Cricetulus griseus: one gene and its partners. The protein of the gene in region 1 binds, or shares a complex with, the protein of each later gene. Links are inferred from orthologs where the notes say so. Each region holds a gene or a part of one and is shown in the gene's direction. Other genes may lie near its edges.

Region 1 (3,589 bases):
TCTAGATGAGCAGTCAGTACTTTTAACCTCTGAGCCATATTGTCAGCCCCTCTCTCAACTTCTTGCAGCCTCTCCTCCCAGCCACAGTAAGGACAGTCCATAAATTCTGGATGTTCTTCCTCCTACATCTCCAGGATGTGCCCTCTCAGTAGATGTGGTTTATTAGCAGAGGCTGCCCTGTGTTCCACATCTGTATCTGCTTATTCTACTCATCCCTCTCCTGCTCTAAAATCTTCCATAACTCCCCATCGCCTCGGGCCAAGACCCAAACTTCAGCTCATTAATGGAGCTTTCATCCAGGCCAAGTGGTGCCATTTGTGGCCCTACCTACCCAGGAGGCTGAGAGAAGACACTGGCTTTCAGACCCATACCCACCCACCCATCTACCTTGCCTTCCGGCCCTACCACACACACAGTCCATCCAAATACAGTGGCTGAGCCCCAAACAACCAATGTCCCAGGCCTCACCTGGGAGGTGTCCACATCAAAGAAGCTTTGATAGTAGTCAAACGTCCAGAATCTTGGCTGTGGCTTTTCTTCCTGTAGAAGCTACAAGACACAAACTTTCAGAAGCTGCCTCTCAGCCCAGCTATGGACAGGCATGGCATGCGGGGCCCAGGGGACTTACCGATGCTCTATCGCCCTCTTCCTCCACCACTTCGGCTCCATAGCCAATACCTGATCCCACGACCACAGTCACGTGCTCCCGTGAGGTCAGGGCATCACTTTGGCTAGTGGTGGCTGCATCTGGGGTCTCTGCCAGAAGATTTGTGGCTTCTTCGAACTCTACGGTCAGAGAAAATGGGCACAGGTGTTTGGATTCTGAAAATCTCTTGACCATCACCCCGGGCTGTGGTTGCCTCACTACACTCCCTAAGGACTGCGTTTCTTCAATTTTGACGCATAGAGAAGTCTGTTTCTCGACTAAGATGGGGTTCAGGTTAGGTTCTAGGCAGACTTGGAGGCTCTGATGTGCCTCTGAGTTTATAGTGGGAGCAGGGATTGACTGAGTACGGGATGAACCCCAGGTTCACGCTGGGATCTAGGTCCCAGCTGCCTGGAGTTTTATCCTAGGACAGGAGTAGGAGCTCTGACCACTTCCCGGCCCCACTCACCATGGAAGGCCAGTGCGTCAGCCGCTGCCATGATTCTTTTGAGGCGTCACCGCATTGCGCTGTGTGGACAGAACTGCATCAGTCCCTCAGCCCTCCCCAGGATTGATGCTTCCGCCTACAGTCCTGCCTGGAGCCTACCGAACACCTGGAGTGAGACCAGCCCTGGGCCAGGTGCACCCCGCCCTCCTCACCTAAGGCTACCTAAGCTGGCGTGGCCCATCCTCCGTGCGCGTGCGTGCGGCCAGCGTACCCGTCAGAGCCCACTCTTCATGCAACGGCAACATCCGGCGCCAGCCCGGCTTCCGGTTTTCAGTGAGAAACTACTTCCGGTACCTTGCGCGTGCGCAGGAGCCACTCCGCACCTTTGGTTCCGCCGCTATGCTTTTCCGCTGGCCAACGGACGGCGGGAAGAGGATGGCCACCGCCGCTCTCAAGAGGCTCGGGTCCGCTGGGCGCAGTGAAGCGCGAGGAGAGGCGAATGCTGCCGCGACGGTGGCGGCGAAGCCAGGGCTGTGGGCGCGACTGGGTGAGTAGTGGCGGCGGGGGTGGCGGCGGGGGTGGGGGGCGGCCCGCGTGCCCGGATCGCTGTCACCTCCGCGCTGGCGTCTTTCCTTCAGGCACTTGGACCCGCGCGCTGCTTCGCGATTACGCCGAGGCCTGCAGAGACGCGGCGGCGGCGGCTCGGGCCCGGCCAGGCCGCGCGGCAGTCTACGTGGGGCTGTTGGGCGGCGCCGCGGCGTGCTGCGCCCTGGCCCCTGGCGAGGCCACCTTCGAAGAGGCCTTGCTCGACGCGTCGGGGTCCCTCCTGCTGCTGGCGCCGGCCACGCGTAACCGTCACTCGGAAGCGTTCTTGCAGCGCCTGCTGTGGCTGAGAGGCCGCGGGCGGCTGCGCCACGTGAACCTGGGGCTCTGCTCGCTGGTGTACGAGGCGCCCTTCGATGCCCAGGCCAGCCTCTACCAGGCCCGCTGCCGCTACCTGCAGCCGCGTTGGATCGACTTCCCCGGTCGGGTCCTCGACGTGGGGTTCCTGGGCCGTTGGTGGATCCTGGAGAACCGCATGCAGGATTGCGACATTAACGACGACGAGTTTCTTCACCTGCCTGCGCACCTCCGTGTCGTCGGGCCCCACCAGCTGCATTCCGAGGCCAACGAGAGGCTGTTCGAGGAGAAGTACAAGCCGATTGTGCTCACTGATGACCAGGTGGACCAGGCGCTGTGGGAAGAGCAGGTCTTGCAAAAGGAAAAAAAGGATAGACTGGCGCTGAGCGAGGCCAATTCACTGGTGCAGGCCGAGGTTTCCAGATGAAACCCCAGGTCTCCAGGTTCAGGCAGACTGTTTGCCACGAGTGGATGCAACGGATGAGATGGCTGGTTGTAAACTCTGCTCGGTGTGGTTTTGTGGGAAGACCTTCTCGCTCCGTCTGTTTCATTAGCCGAAGCTAATTGAAAGCTTTCCTGATCTTGGAGATGGAGAACAGCTGAAGGACTGGTCTTGAACATGGAGAAGAGCTGAAGCATTTGTCCGTGTTATATTTATAACCACCAGAAGTACTAGTAAGGAGCCTGTATGGGGTAGCCTGTTGTCGACGGGGATGTACTTCAGTGGTAGAGCACTTGCCTAGCGTGCCTGGGTTCTTGGCTTCCAATCCCAGCACTGTAAAACAGAACAAAAAAGAACTTTTTGTTTGGGGGTTATTGTTTATTTGGTTGGGTTTTGAGACTAGGACTCCCAAAGAACCCAGACTGACCCTAAATCCTCCTGCCTCAGCTCCAGTCCACCACAGTGTACACAGTCCATGCATAATAGCCTACTGTGTAGCAAAGGGTGACTTGCCTGCACTTCCCAGATGGGGGGAGAAAGGGTTCTGCTGTACACTTTATTATTGTTGAGTACTAGACATCAAAGACGGGGTCTTGTACATACAGGGCAAGCACTGAACCCCCAAGGCTTTTTTTTTTTTTTTTTTTAATGTATGCACTTTTCTATCTGCATGTATGCCTGCAGGCCAGAATAAGGCATCAGGTCTCATTACAGATGTTTGTGACCCACCATGAGGTTGCTGAGAGTTGAACTCTGGAAGAACAGGAAGTGCTCTTAACCTCTGAGCCACTCTCCAACCCCATTTTTTAAATTATTTTTTCTAAATTTTTTTAAAAATGTATTTATTTATTATGTATACAATGTTCTGCCTGCATACCAGAAGAGGGCACCAGATTTCATTATAGATAGTCATGAGCCACCCTGTGTTTGCTGGGAATTGAACTCAGGTCCCCTGGAAGAGTAGTCAGTGCTCTTAACCTCTGAGTCATCTCTCCAGCCCCTTCTCCGGTCTTCTTGGGATTTTTTTGTTTTGTTTAATAGTTTCTATTTAGTCCTTGAGGCCCTTGGACCTAGCTTCTCTTAACTGGTAACATTGTGTAATACCATCAGTGCAGGAGATAGATATGGAAGTGAACAGATGTCAGTGTTAGGT
Region 2 (4,153 bases), on another chromosome or scaffold:
AAGAAATAATTGGGCTGTTAAGATGGCTTAAAGGTAAGGACGATTACCATGGCACTTGACAACTTGGGCTTGATGGCTCTGGACCTATGTGGTGGTGTTGTGCCCAAATTCTGAAGCCCCAAATCACCAAGAGACCCATTCCAATGCAAAAGCAAAGAGTCTTTTATTGTTTAACAAGTTAATTGTCTTAACTCTGGCCCTTTGTGGGTTCATCACATCAGGTGGAGTAAGAAGGACCCAGAGAAACCAAGTTGGGGGGAAGTGTGCAAGGGGAATGTCTAGAACTAAGCAATGGGCTTCCAGGCTTGGGTAACCTGTCCTGTGTTGGTCAACTGGTTGTTATGGCCTATAGGCCCTCCCAGGGTGGTTGCTATGCTCTGCATGGCACTGTTATACCTCTTTTACTATAAAGCACCACAAAGCCTAGAGCCCTCCAGCTAACTTCTGATTGGTTCCTTGCCACGTGGAGGGTATCTGACCTCCTAGTGACTAGGGCAGTTCCAGCATGGTCAGAAGGCCGGAATCTAAGCAACATGTGCTGAGTCAGAGGCTACATCTTGCAGGTTCTTTTCTGCAGCCTGTCATGCAGCTCAAAGCAGGGGGCTGGGTGAGGGTCAGATCCCTTCAGTGGAAGAACAGAATCAGCTCCCACAGGTTGTCCTTTGACTTCTACATGGGCCCATGGCACATACTTTTACGAATAAATCTAAAAAAGTATACCCAATGAGAGGTGTAAAAAAGACAGGGGGAAAAAATCACTATTAGCTGAAGATGTGAAAATAGAAATTGGGGGAAAAGACTTCATCGTTAAAGACAACAGATAAAGAAAATGTGGCTAAATTTTAATAAACGTTAAATCCTGGTGATAGCTATATTGATGTTCATTAGACTGTGTTTTCTTTTTTTTGGGGGGGGAGGTGTTGAGACATGGTTTCTCTGTGGCTTTGGAGGCTGTCCTGGAACTAGCTCTGTAGACCAGGCTGGCCTGGAACTCACAGAGATCCGCCTGCCTCTGCCTCCCGAGTGCTGGGGCTCCGAGTGATTTTAACATGCAACACTGACAGGCTCCTTTGGGAAAGATTCCCCCTTCTTCACACAAGAACTATCTGAGCTCGGACGTGGGCCCTCCTTAGTGCGTTCAGGAAGCCAAGCCCCTTCCACACCCCAAACACTCAAAACATCTCCCGGACAGCCCAAGGAACAGAAAGCTAACGGGGCTGCCGGCGCTCCGCCCCTCACTCAGGCCTCTGTGGCACTTTGGAGGACGCTCTAGCAAACTGAAGTCGTTTTCGCTTCGGCCAGGCGGTGGCCCCATCTCTATGGTAGCGGATTTCCCAGCGCCGCCGGGTAGGCGTTTTCTTCCGGATCAAAGAAGAGGTTGGACTTCCATCCCGGATGTGACCCACGTGCTTCTTATTTCTTCCAGCTGGGTACCCGGCAACTTTTTACTATTGACCCGAAGTTGCGGACCTCGAGGGATCTGTGACCTGCCCCAGGCCGTGGTGAGTGAGTCACGGTGTCTGACCCCGAGTGACCCCGATGATGGCATCGACATGACGGGCGCAGCCTTTGGGCCGGCTCCGGGAGCTTCGGTTGTGGTGAGGGTCGGGTTCTCAGGGCCGCGCGGGCCAGGCCCACGGTTTCGAGTGTTGTGTCCCTGGCGTCGATCCTCTGGCTGGGAGCGACGTGGAGGAACCGAGCGGTCCAGTCTCCGGGCCCGTGCCCGTGACATCCTGAGTGACCTTGAGCTGGGCACTGTCCCCTGTAAAGGCCTTATTTCCACTTCTGTTACGAGGGCTGATTACGTTTACTGAGGGCGGTGGTCCCTGCTGGTCAGAAACGCTGTCCTCCAGCCCCGGGACGTTAGGGTGAAGAGGGAGGGGTCGGTGCTGACGATCTTGTCTGCTCCTAGGAAAGACCAGGAGGCTGCTCTGCACGGTGCTAGGTTGACATGGATCCGCTTAGAGCCCAGCAGCTGGCTGCGGAGCTGGAGGTGGAGATGATGGCTGACATGTACAACAGGTAATGAGAACCACTCCACGATACCGAGTGTTGGAAGATTAGCCCGAGTCACCCTTACCATGACGGAGTCAAGGACTTGTAAGGAATGCTTTCCTTTAGGGAGTGGAGCCAAGTCCCAGCCCTCACCCTCTGCCCCACGCTCACCATGTGCTAGGCTAAACCAAATACAAGTCACTAGAAGGACTTGGCTATTTAGGGGGAGTAAGAGGGGCATGAAGGAGAATCTCCTGTTAGTATCTGGTGAGTTTCAAGAACAGGTAGTATTAATTTAAAAAACAAAAACAAAAACAAGCCGGGCATTGGTGGCGCACGCCATTAATCTCAGCACTCGGGAGGCAGAAGCAGGCGGATCTCTGAGTTCGAGACCGCCCTGGTCTACAAGAGCTAGTTCCAGGACATCCTCCAAAGCCACAGAGAAACCATGTCTTGAAAAAACCAAAAAAAAAAAAAAAAAAAAACCCAAAAAACAAAAAAAAACCCCCAAAACAGCCCATTTAATTACTTTTGTTTATGTATTTTGTGGTTGTTTATGAGTGCCACCCTGTCTGTCACAGCAGCACACTAGTGTAGGTCGGAGAACAACTTAATAGGAGCCCATCTTTCCTTCCAATGTATGGGTCTCAGGAACTGGACTCTTTTTTGTTTGTTTTTGTTTTTTTGAGACAGGGTTTCTCAGTATTTTTTTAGAGCCTGTCCTGGAACTCGATTGATAGACCAGGCTGGTCTCGAATTCGCAGACATCTGCCTGCCTCTGTCTCCCGAGTGCTGGGATTAAAGGCATGCGCCACCATTGCCGGCCGAAATGGACTCTAAAGATCTGGCTTGGCAACCTCTAATATTCTTTAAGCTTTTGTCTTTTGTTTGTTTGATTTATTTTATTTATTTTATTTTTTTGAGACAGGGTCTCATGATGTAATCCTGGCTAGCCTGGAACCTGCTATGTATACCAGGCTGGCCTTGAATTCACAAAGATCATCAGCCTCTCCCACTTGGGTCCTGAGGATTAAAGTTGTGCACATCTGGCCTTCATTAAACTTTGTGTTAGGCACTAGCAAAACATTTTACATATATTACCATTTTTAAATTGTTTTTTTCAAGTTTCTTTGTTTTTAGTTTATATGTGTGGATATTTTGCTTGCATGTATGTATGTATGTATGTATGTATGTATGTATACCACATGCCTGAAGAGGCCAAAGAGGGCATCAGATCCATTGGAACTGGAGTAACAGACAATTTTTGAGTTACCATGTGGGTTCTGGGAACCAAACCCAGGTCTTCTGCAAGACCAGTAAGTTCTCTTAACCAGGAAGCCATCTGTCTAGTACCCCCATTGTCACATTTTATTTTTATTTTTTTAATGTGTTTTTTTTAAAGATTTATTTATTTATTATGTATACAACATTCTGCTTCCATGTATATCTGCACACCAGAAGAGGGCACCAGATCTCATAAGGGATGATTGTGAGCCACCATGTAGTTGCTGGGAATTGAACTCAGGACCTCTGGAAGAGCAGTCGGTACTCTTAACCTCTGAGCCATCTCTCCAGCCCCACATATTATTTTTTAATATTAAAAATACTCACTGGGAGAAGAGGACCTAACTTTTGGCAGGGTGCTTTGCTAGAATGCAAGAAGCCCTTGCCTTGATACTGATGTGGTGCTTGTACTTTCAGCACTCAGAGATGAAGGACAGAGGATCAATAGTTCAAGGTCATCCTTGGCCACATAGTGAGTTTGAGGCCAGCCTGGGATAGATGGCATGAGTCTGAAAAAAAAAAAAGGAAATAAATTAAAATCAGTGGGTTAATTTTATTAGTGCCATTTTAACATCAGGGAATTGAGGTATCAAAGGATTTAGTAATGTCAGCATTCATAACTGGTCAGTAGCAATGTCAGAACCAATTCTTCAGACTGATCTCACAACTATTGATTGTAGCTGTTTGGCCAGTTTGGAAACAAATCCTGGTGCACCAGTCACCTGCTGAATATCTTTGGACAAACTGTCTCATAATTGATTGTATCATCAATAAAACTGACATAATAAACACTACTTCATGAAGACATTACTAATATTGAACATGGAAGCCTTTAGCATCAAGCATATCATTCAGGAAACAGTGAGACACCTGC
Region 3 (4,083 bases), on another chromosome or scaffold:
ATTCCACCAGAGGTCCTGAGTTGAATTCCCGGCAACCACATGGTGGCTCACAACCACCTTGAATGAGATCTGGTGCCCTCTGCTGGCATGCAGGCAGAAGACTGTATACATAATAAATAAATAATTTAAAAAAAAAAATCAAAGGAGAGAGGGGTCCCTGTGTCACATGCAGCTGAGAAGTTTAGAAAAAATGATTGACAGCTAAGAAACCACTGGAGAGCCATGTGGTGGTGGGGAATCTGTGAGTTCAAGGCCAGTTTGGTCTACAAAAGGAGTTTCGGGACAGCCAGGACTGTTTCTCAGAGAAACCCTGACTTGAAAAACCAAACCAAACCAAACCAACCAACCAACCACTGGAAACTTAGCGTGCTTGGTGGCCTGGTGAGGGCAGAAACAAGAACAAAGAGGATTTTAGACACCAAACGTGCATCTGTAATGATTTTTCTTTTCATGAGTGTTTCGCTTAGCTAAGAGAGACAAATAAATTGCCAGCCTGGTCTGACTCAGAATCACAACTACCACAATTCCCAATATTTATTTATATATTTATATATTTTGTTTTTTCAAGACGGAGTTTCTCTGTGTAGCTCTGGGTGTCCTGGAACTCACGCTGCAGACCAGGCTGGCCTCGAACTCAGAGATCTACCTGCCTCTGCTGAAATTACATGAGCCACCACCACCCAGCTCATTTATTGGCCCTTCTTTCTCCTCAAAGGTTTAACTATATAATAAAATGTCTATTGAACATCTTCACGCCATGTTTCAACATTTGCTTATTACCATTATTTGATCTTAGAATACCAACCAGCCTGTAGTCCTAGCTGACTGAGGCAGCATGATCACTGTCACTTGGCGGGGCAACAAAGCGGACACGCACGCCTTCTGCTGGATACGTCACAAACTGCAGCCTAGCCAGAGCCGGGCCTGCCTTGGTTCGCTTCTCAGAAGAGCTTCTGAGGAAGCCGTAGGGTTAGTTCGCGCATAGCTTTCTGGGAAATGTAGTTAGATGTTTGAGTTAGAACTACAAATCCCGGCACGCGCCGCACTGGAGCTACCTCGTTGAGGGGGGTGTTCTGGAGACCCCGAATCTTGTTTGTCAGTGCTTTTAGCAATGCCTTACAAACTTGACTCGGTGTTTACAGGAGGCTTTGGGGGGAACATTATAGCTGCCTTGACGCTGATGCACAGGCCGACTTTTGCTTCCGCCGCTTCCTCATTGTGGCGAATCTGCCGCTGCGGCACTATGGCTAGACACCTAGGGAAGCATGTGGAATCGGCTGTGGCAAGTACGACGCTTAAGGTTCTGGGTCCCTTACGGTCATGGCGGCTACTGCCCCCAGTGCCGGGGCTTCAGCTGCGGAGTCGGCGACTTCCGCCGAAGCTCCGCTGCAATACAGCCTTCTTCTGCAGTACCTGGTGGGCGACAAGCGTCAGCCCCGGCTCCTGGAGCCTGGCAGCCTGGGCGGGATCCCGAGTCCCTCCAAGAGCGAGGAGCAGAAGATGATCGAGAGGGCGATGGAAAGTTGCGCCTTCAAGGCTGTGCTAGCCTGCGTGGGAGGTGAGGCGAGGCTCGTGGGACCCTTGGGAGGCTGAGGGCTTGGAGGGCCTTGGGGTTCCTTGCCAAGACCACGCGCCTGGGAGGCGAAGGACCTGTGGGTCTCGACCTTGATTGCTCCCCGACTGGCTCAATGAACCCGAAGATGCCGCTCTTGATCCTGGGGTTAACATTCACAGTTGGGAGCTGGAACGTTCGAGAATCAGTTAAACTACGGTCAGGGCCTGCAGATTGTTAAGTGGATGCTTTCGTTCATTCATTCATTCATTCATTCATTCATTCATTCATTCATTCATTCACAAACTAAGCAACTGTCGTGTGTTAGGCAGTGGGACTATGGATGAAAGTGACAAGAGCCCTGATAGAGAATTTCTAGGACCCGGGCAGAAGAGTGCTGTAGACACATAGGGAATTGCAAATGCAAAGGTCCTCAAGTCAGAGAAATTTGAAGTTAATTCCAGCACTCGGGAGGCAGAGGCAGATGGATCCCTGTGAGTTCGAGGCCAGTCTGGTCTACAGAGTGAGTTCCAGTACAGCCAGTTCTACATAGAGAGACCCTATCTAAGGGGAAAAAAAAAAAAAAAAAAAAAAAAGGCCACTGTAATTAGACTGTCGGGGTGGGGTAGGATAGAACATAAAAACAAACAAATACACACACTTCCAGTGTGCAGGTAAAAAGGTTGACTGTATTTGTGGATGAGTTTAAATTTTATTGGGAATGAAAAACATTTGTGAAATCCAAATAGCAGGAGTTCAAGTCTTAAAAATTGAGGATGAAGAGGCAGTCAGATCTGAGTTCCAGGCCAACCTGGTCTATATAGTGAATTCCAGGACAGCCAGGGTTACATAATAGAGACACTGTCTTCAAAAACAAAACAAAAAACTGACCAAACAAAAAGCAAACCTTAAATGTACTACAAAGAAGAGAGAGTTTTGGAGCTGGAGTGATTGGAAAGCAAGACATTTTGGAGAGGGGAGATAGAGTCTAGTTTCATTGAAATTAATTACATTGATTTTTTTTTATTTTTTGAAATTACATTCATCTTGAGGTGATGAGAAGACATCCATACAGAAATGGCTGGGGACAAAGTGCAGTTGATAAAGTGCTTGTCATGCAAGCTTGAGGATCTGAGTTCAATACCCAGCATCCTGTAAAAAGCCAGGTATGGCTGGGTGAGGTGGCCCAGGCCTCTAATCCCAGCACTAGAGAGGCAGATGGATCTGAGTTTGAGGCCAGCCTGGTCTACATAGCAAGCTCCAGGACACCTACACAGACAGACTATATAGGCTGTGTCTCAGAAAGATAGACAGACAGACAGACAGATAGATAGATAAATAGATAAATGTCAGGCCTGAAAATGACTTGTAATCCCATTACTGGGAAGACAGGCAGACAGATCCTTGGGGCTCAGTTACTAGCCAGCCTAGCCTAATCAGTTAGCTCTAGGTCCATTGAGAGACCCTCTTTAAAAAAGAAAAAAGTGGCCAGGGGTAGTGGCACCTGATTTTAACCCCAGCACTCCAAAGACAGGCAGGTAGATCTCTCTGAGTTTGAGGCCAGCCTGGTCTACAGAGTAAGTTCTGGGACTGCTAGGGCTATTACACTGAGAAACCCTGTCTTGAAAACAACGAAAGAAAGAAAGAAAGAAAGAAAGAAAGAAAGAAAGAAAGAAAGAAAGAAAGAAAGGTGGATGGTTCCTGAGTAGTGACACCCCAGGATTGAACTCTGGCCTACACCCACACCCACACAAAGAAATGTTCAAGGTTTAGACAAGACATTTGTTGACAGCAACCTAGGATTTCCCACATAACAGCCATGCGACTTTGGACACAGTTACTTAGCCTCTCTAGCTTTGGTTTAGAGAGGACAGCTGGGTGGTAGTGACACACGCTGTTAATCCAAGAACTTGGGAGGTAGAGGCAGGTGGATCTCTTGAGTTTGAGCTAGCCTGTTCTACAATAGCAAGTTCCAGGCCAGTTAGGACTCCATAGTGAGGTCCTGTCAAACAAACAAAACAGCCACAAGTTATTGTGAAATCTAGAGTATTTCAGAATATGTGGTAATGCCTACCAAGAGACTGTTATAGATATTGGCATGGTTAAGGGAATGATACACAAAGTTGATAAGAACTTGAGGGTGACTGGTCTATAGAGAACAGAGGGTTAAAGCTCAAAGGCTGGGAAATGAAAGGAAGAAATCCTAGGAGAGTCAGGGGGATAGACTCTGACTGGAGGAAGCAGGATTGAGCCATCTTAAAATATCATCCCAAAATGGTAGTCCAGAATGTGCAAAAGAACTCTTATCTCTGCTTGCTTCTAGGATTTGTCTTGGGAGGTGCGTTTGGGATCTTTACTGCCGGCATTGATACCAATGTAGGCTTTGACCCTAAGGACCCTTACCGGACACCAACTGCAAAAGAAGTTCTGAAAGACATGGGACAAAGAGGAATGTCCTACGCCAAAAATTTTGCCATTGTGGGCGCAATGTTTTCGTGTACTGAGTGTTTAGTAGAATCTGTAAGTGTCTC
Region 4 (4,236 bases), on another chromosome or scaffold:
TCATACCTGTGGGGATGAGTCCATCACCAGAGCCCCCATAGCCACCAGACACAATGCTAGTTTCATTGAGGTTGGGTCCTGACACCATCACCTGCTGGAGGTCCTATAGATCAGAGAAGAGGGGGCACTTCAGGAACATGGGGGTGGCTGAAATATTTTGGGGATAGAGACAGTATATAGTAAAGTCTGTATAGAATCATAATGACGACTTGAAAACTATAAGGAGGACTAACTAAATGAAGTCTATTGGGATGGGAAAAGCGAAACATTCAAGAGTCAGGATTGCTAAATTGAAACAATTAGAAGAATCAAACAGAAGCACCTGCTCCAGCCCATCGTCTTCAGGAAGCTGCCCAGCTTCACCATTTCCATGGATTGGGATCTCCATTGTGGCTGCCTTCCCTAGGATCCCGTCCGTCATGGCTAGGGAAGGTACTGGAGTCAAGGTCTCCACCCCAGCACGCTGTAAAGCCCAACACAGACAATTCTGGAAACTGGCCAGCACTCCAGAACAAGGAGGCCTTCCCTGTGTTCTAATAGGTTTCAGGGGTTGTCTGTTAGGACTTGGGTGTCCCTGGAGATCAGCCCCTACTTTCCTGGAGATGTGTATTTCTTCTCTTCCAAGTACATTATTTCTACAGATGCATGTATACCAAAGCCTTGGGTGTCTTCTCACAAACCCCAACCTCACCTTTAGTAACCTTTACACATTCAGTCACTCAACAAACACTTAGTGAGTGCCTACTATGCGTCAGATACTGAGGCAATGGGATTACAGCAGTGAGGGCCAGAGGGGAATGTCTGTGCTCTTTGGGAACTTGGCCCTGCATAGGCATGTTTACCAGAAGGCAAAACCCTTTCCTAGACTCGGATGCTCACTTGCCACTCAAGCATGCTCTGCAATCCCTGGTCTTTCAAATCCTTTGATGTTCCTTCCCCTCTTCCTTCAAATGGTCTCTCCTTTCTCCATCTCATGCACCTGCCTCCCTCAGGCCCTCCCCACCAGGCCTTAGTTGAAGCAGCTGGTGTGTTCCCGGTGTCAGTTAAAAGCTTCTTTCCCAGGACACAGGCAGTCCCTTCCAAAGTCAGTTTATGCCTTCCAGATGTGAGAGGTCCCCTCCACCACCCCCCCACACACCTGGGCATCAGGTGTGTCCTCATCCTTGCCAAGGGCTCAGGGCATCTTGCCCTCCGCACAGGTTCGTGCATTCAACTTCCTTTCGTACAAGTATGTCCTTCTCACCTGGGCCGGGCCACTCTTCCCCTCAGGGCGCGAGGGCCGGACCGCGCGGGGACCTCGGGTTCCAGTTCCCGTCGCGATCTTAGCAGCAGGTCAGAGATTCGGCGGAAGTGACGTGCCCTCTGGGCAGAAGAAGCCGGCCACGTCGCAGAGCAAAAGGGCGGAGGTGACGTTAGCAGACATGGGCTGGGCGATACTGGAACCACGCCTTGAAGCTCTTGGTGACTAGGGAGAATTTACTTCCGGGGTGACTCCGCGCCCCCAGGGAGGAAGTAAAGTGGGCTGCGTGCCCCGAGCGTGATGGAGCAGCAGCAGCAGCAACTAAGAAACGTGAGTAAGAGCTAAGTTGTTCTCGGGGTTAGACGTGCGGTTTGTTTTCTGGGGTACATGCAAGAACCCCCAGTGGGGAAGGCAGGCTGCACTGCGCACGCCAGGAACCCTCAGCGGTGGTGAAGCCTTGATCCGCTTTTCTCTTAGTTGCGAGATTTCCTGTTGGTCTACAATCGGATGACAGAACTGTGCTTCCAGCGCTGTGTGCCCAGCCTGCACCACCGAGCTCTGGACGCTGAGGAGGTGGGGACTGTGGGGACCCCAGAGGTTGACAACGTGACGTGTCCACCTCCCACCCCCCGTTTGCATCTCGGTCTCCCATGACCTCACCCCTAGGCTGGGGCCCCGGAGAGGAGGGCTTGACAGGACCCCTTTTGGTCTCTGCTTACCTCTGTCTTCCTTCCAGGAGGCCTGTCTACACAGCTGTGCTGGGAAGCTCATCCATTCTAACCACCGCCTCATGGCCGCTTACGTCCACCTCATGCCCGCCCTTGTCCAGCGCCGCATCGCGGACTACGAGGCTGCCTCGGCCGTGCCAGGTGTTACTGCAGAACAACCCAGAGACTCGCCATCAGGCAGCTAGCCATCGCCTGCCCCAGGAGAGAAGGTGCTTGGATGGGCTCCTCTATGAACCTTGGGCTTGTCGAAATTTGTACAGAAAGATTGAGCCTGAAAGCTGGGCACTATTGCTCCTTTTCTTGGAGCCAATAAACCGGGTTTTTACTCTGGTTGATTTTCTGGGCAGGAATTTATTTATGTCCACTTATTGGTACCAACCTTTATTCTGCCATTTAGTGCCTATCTTCTCCCCTCAGCCCTGGCAGTTGAGAAATTGCCTTCTGTAATGTAGTAGGACAAACTCAGCATTCTCAGATCCCCAGCAAAAACATAGTTTTAAGGTTAGTAATAGCAATGGGAAATTGGTTCCAAAAGGGGAGCTCTCAGTGGCTATCCTTGAGCCTAACTCAAATGCCTGAATATATATTGCATAATAACTAGTTTTCTTCTGAGCTGTAATACAAAAAGAATTGTGCTGCATCTAGGGGAAGAATGTGATATCAGACAACAAGAGGAAGAAGAAAACAGCACCACAATAGGCTTTAGCCACCAATTCTTAGGAGATCAAAGATAAGCCTGTAAGAATGTGGGAATATTGTCTAGAATTTCAATCATTTCCCCAGTTTACCATCTTAAATATTTCCTGTCTTTGTGAAATCAGCAATAAGGACTTTAAACAAAGAAGGGTTTTCTTCTTGTCTTCAAGGCAAGTCAGAAGGCCTACATTAGTCAAATCTAAAGAAGAGAAATCAAAGGGAAAGGTAGATGGTGATAGAGGGGTGGTTAAATATAATCTGTGTGGCTCCTAATGCTTCCTTAGTGTTTCACTGTTTGTCTGGAATCTCCTAATTCCAGCTCTCTACCTTCCATCTTACATTGTTCTCAACCGTAACTGATCCAGCCTCTCTATTCTTGTTTTGTTACTGCCCCCTCATTTTGTGGGGTTCACATCTGTATTCAGGAGGATACCTCCTTTCCTGGCCCTGCCTTTTCCGTGATGTCATCTCCAGTATGAGGACAAGGAAGGAAGGAGGAAATGGCATATACTACCATGTGGGGCTTCAAGGATAATGGCAGGATGCAGGGCAAGCAACAGTATGGGATGTGCATTTGTTATTGTTGTTTTACTGGGGGTTCAACTCAAGGGCTTGTGCATGCCAGGCAGGGACTCTTAACAACCTAAGCTACCCATTACCTCTTCATTGCTTAATCCCATCCCATCCTTTCACGTATGGCAACAGCTTTCCTTTTTTACCAAGGAATTAAATTTTAAAATCCCAGCCAAAATCAACTATTTACAAAGCAGATCCCCCCCCCACACACACACCTACAGGTCATAAATATGCATTTTACTTTTTTATTTTTGAGATTGGGGAGGGAGGTCTCAAAACTGACATGTAAATCATAATAACTAAAGATGACCCTGAACTCCTGATCCTCCTGCCTCTACTGCCCAAGAGCTGGCCAGCCAAAAAATTGAAATAGTGGGCTTCGTGTTAAAACACAGCTCTTGCTCTAAGCCTTGTTATGCATGCCTACAAGCCCAGCACTTCACAGATTGCGAATTTTGTGTTTGAAGGCAGCATATCAAGACCCTATTAATAAAGTGCAGTGGGGCGGTAAGCCCCATATTCTTTTTACTACAGCAGGCTGCCTCTCAAAATCATGTCTGTTGAGTATGTTGCATAAATTTATCTTATTTATTCATTTTATTGCAAGCCTAGGAGATATTATTTCCATTTAACAGGTAAAAAAGAACCCAGAATGCATGAGAGCTCTGTCTTATACACAGTTCTTTGAAAACAGATTCTAGTGTGTCACTGCTTTTCCCTTTTTGTTTTTTTATTTTAGGTGATTTTGCCATGGGGTCTATTGGCCTTAAACTTGAGATCCTCTTGTCTCAGCCTCCCAGGTACTGAGATTACAGACATGGGCTACAACGGTTGCTAGATAATTCTTTAGGAAGATAAAAATTGCTGACAAGGAGCTTCCCTATAGAGTGACCTCAGGTCTTCCTGACAGAATTCACTCTTTGACAAGTATAAATGTAAGGAATGCATCATGTGAGCTTCTTCATTTCCAGAGACAGGAAGGTGGAGACCCAGGAT

What was found.
Region 2: the proteins of Timm29 (region 1) and Timm10 are in contact, whole or in part, in a cryo-EM structure (PDB 7CGP), measured with the Homo sapiens proteins. The link is inferred for Cricetulus griseus from reciprocal best matches to the Homo sapiens genes TIMM29 and TIMM10. Residues at the interface, in NP_612367.1 of Homo sapiens: Asp181, Asp183, Ile184, Asp186, Phe189, Leu192, Leu196, Arg197, Val199, Gln203, Leu204, Ser206, Asn209, Glu210, Leu212, Phe213, Asp214; in NP_036588.1 of Homo sapiens: His30, Arg31, Lys32, Cys33, Pro35, Pro36, Leu43, Ser44, Lys45, Gly46, Glu47, Ser48, Val49, Arg53.
Region 3: Timm29 (region 1) and Timm22 share a complex: the UniProt entries of both Homo sapiens proteins name them as parts of the TIM22 complex. The link is inferred for Cricetulus griseus from reciprocal best matches to the Homo sapiens genes TIMM29 and TIMM22.
Region 4: Timm29 (region 1) and Timm10b share a complex: the UniProt entries of both Homo sapiens proteins name them as parts of the TIM22 complex. The link is inferred for Cricetulus griseus from reciprocal best matches to the Homo sapiens genes TIMM29 and TIMM10B.

The regions. Positions count from the first base shown.
Region 1 is NC_048597.1:134,470,673-134,474,261, forward strand, and holds Timm29 (mitochondrial import inner membrane translocase subunit Tim29), read left to right. Parts: upstream 1-1,355; 5' UTR 1,356-1,493; coding exon 1,494-1,641; intron 1,642-1,732; coding exon 1,733-2,421; 3' UTR 2,422-3,082; downstream 3,083-3,589. Other genes in the region: protein YIPF2, read right to left, coding at 469-549, 629-786, 1,116-1,146. UniProt on the Homo sapiens protein: Component of the TIM22 complex, a complex that mediates the import and insertion of multi-pass transmembrane proteins into the mitochondrial inner membrane.
Region 2 is NC_048599.1:90,702,790-90,706,942, reverse strand, and holds the start of Timm10 (mitochondrial import inner membrane translocase subunit Tim10), read left to right. Parts: upstream 1-1,351; 5' UTR 1,352-1,502; exon of another isoform or gene 1,503-1,598; intron 1,599-1,650; exon of another isoform or gene 1,651-1,764; intron 1,765-1,912; 5' UTR 1,913-1,951; coding exon 1,952-2,022; intron 2,023-4,153.
Region 3 is NC_048600.1:89,855,323-89,859,405, forward strand, and holds the start of Timm22 (mitochondrial import inner membrane translocase subunit Tim22), read left to right. Parts: upstream 1-1,281; 5' UTR 1,282-1,320; coding exon 1,321-1,558; intron 1,559-3,875; coding exon 3,876-4,072; intron 4,073-4,083. UniProt on the Homo sapiens protein: Essential core component of the TIM22 complex, a complex that mediates the import and insertion of multi-pass transmembrane proteins into the mitochondrial inner membrane. In the TIM22 complex, it constitutes the voltage-activated and signal-gated channel.
Region 4 is NC_048596.1:94,061,757-94,065,992, reverse strand, and holds the start of Timm10b (mitochondrial import inner membrane translocase subunit Tim10 B), read left to right. Parts: upstream 1-1,434; 5' UTR 1,435-1,540; coding exon 1,541-1,570; intron 1,571-1,717; coding exon 1,718-1,813; intron 1,814-1,976; coding exon 1,977-2,153; 3' UTR 2,154-2,177; intron 2,178-3,979; exon of another isoform or gene 3,980-4,211; 3' UTR 4,212-4,236. Other genes in the region: Arfip2 (arfaptin-2), read right to left, coding at 7-103, 323-421. UniProt on the Homo sapiens protein: Component of the TIM22 complex, a complex that mediates the import and insertion of multi-pass transmembrane proteins into the mitochondrial inner membrane.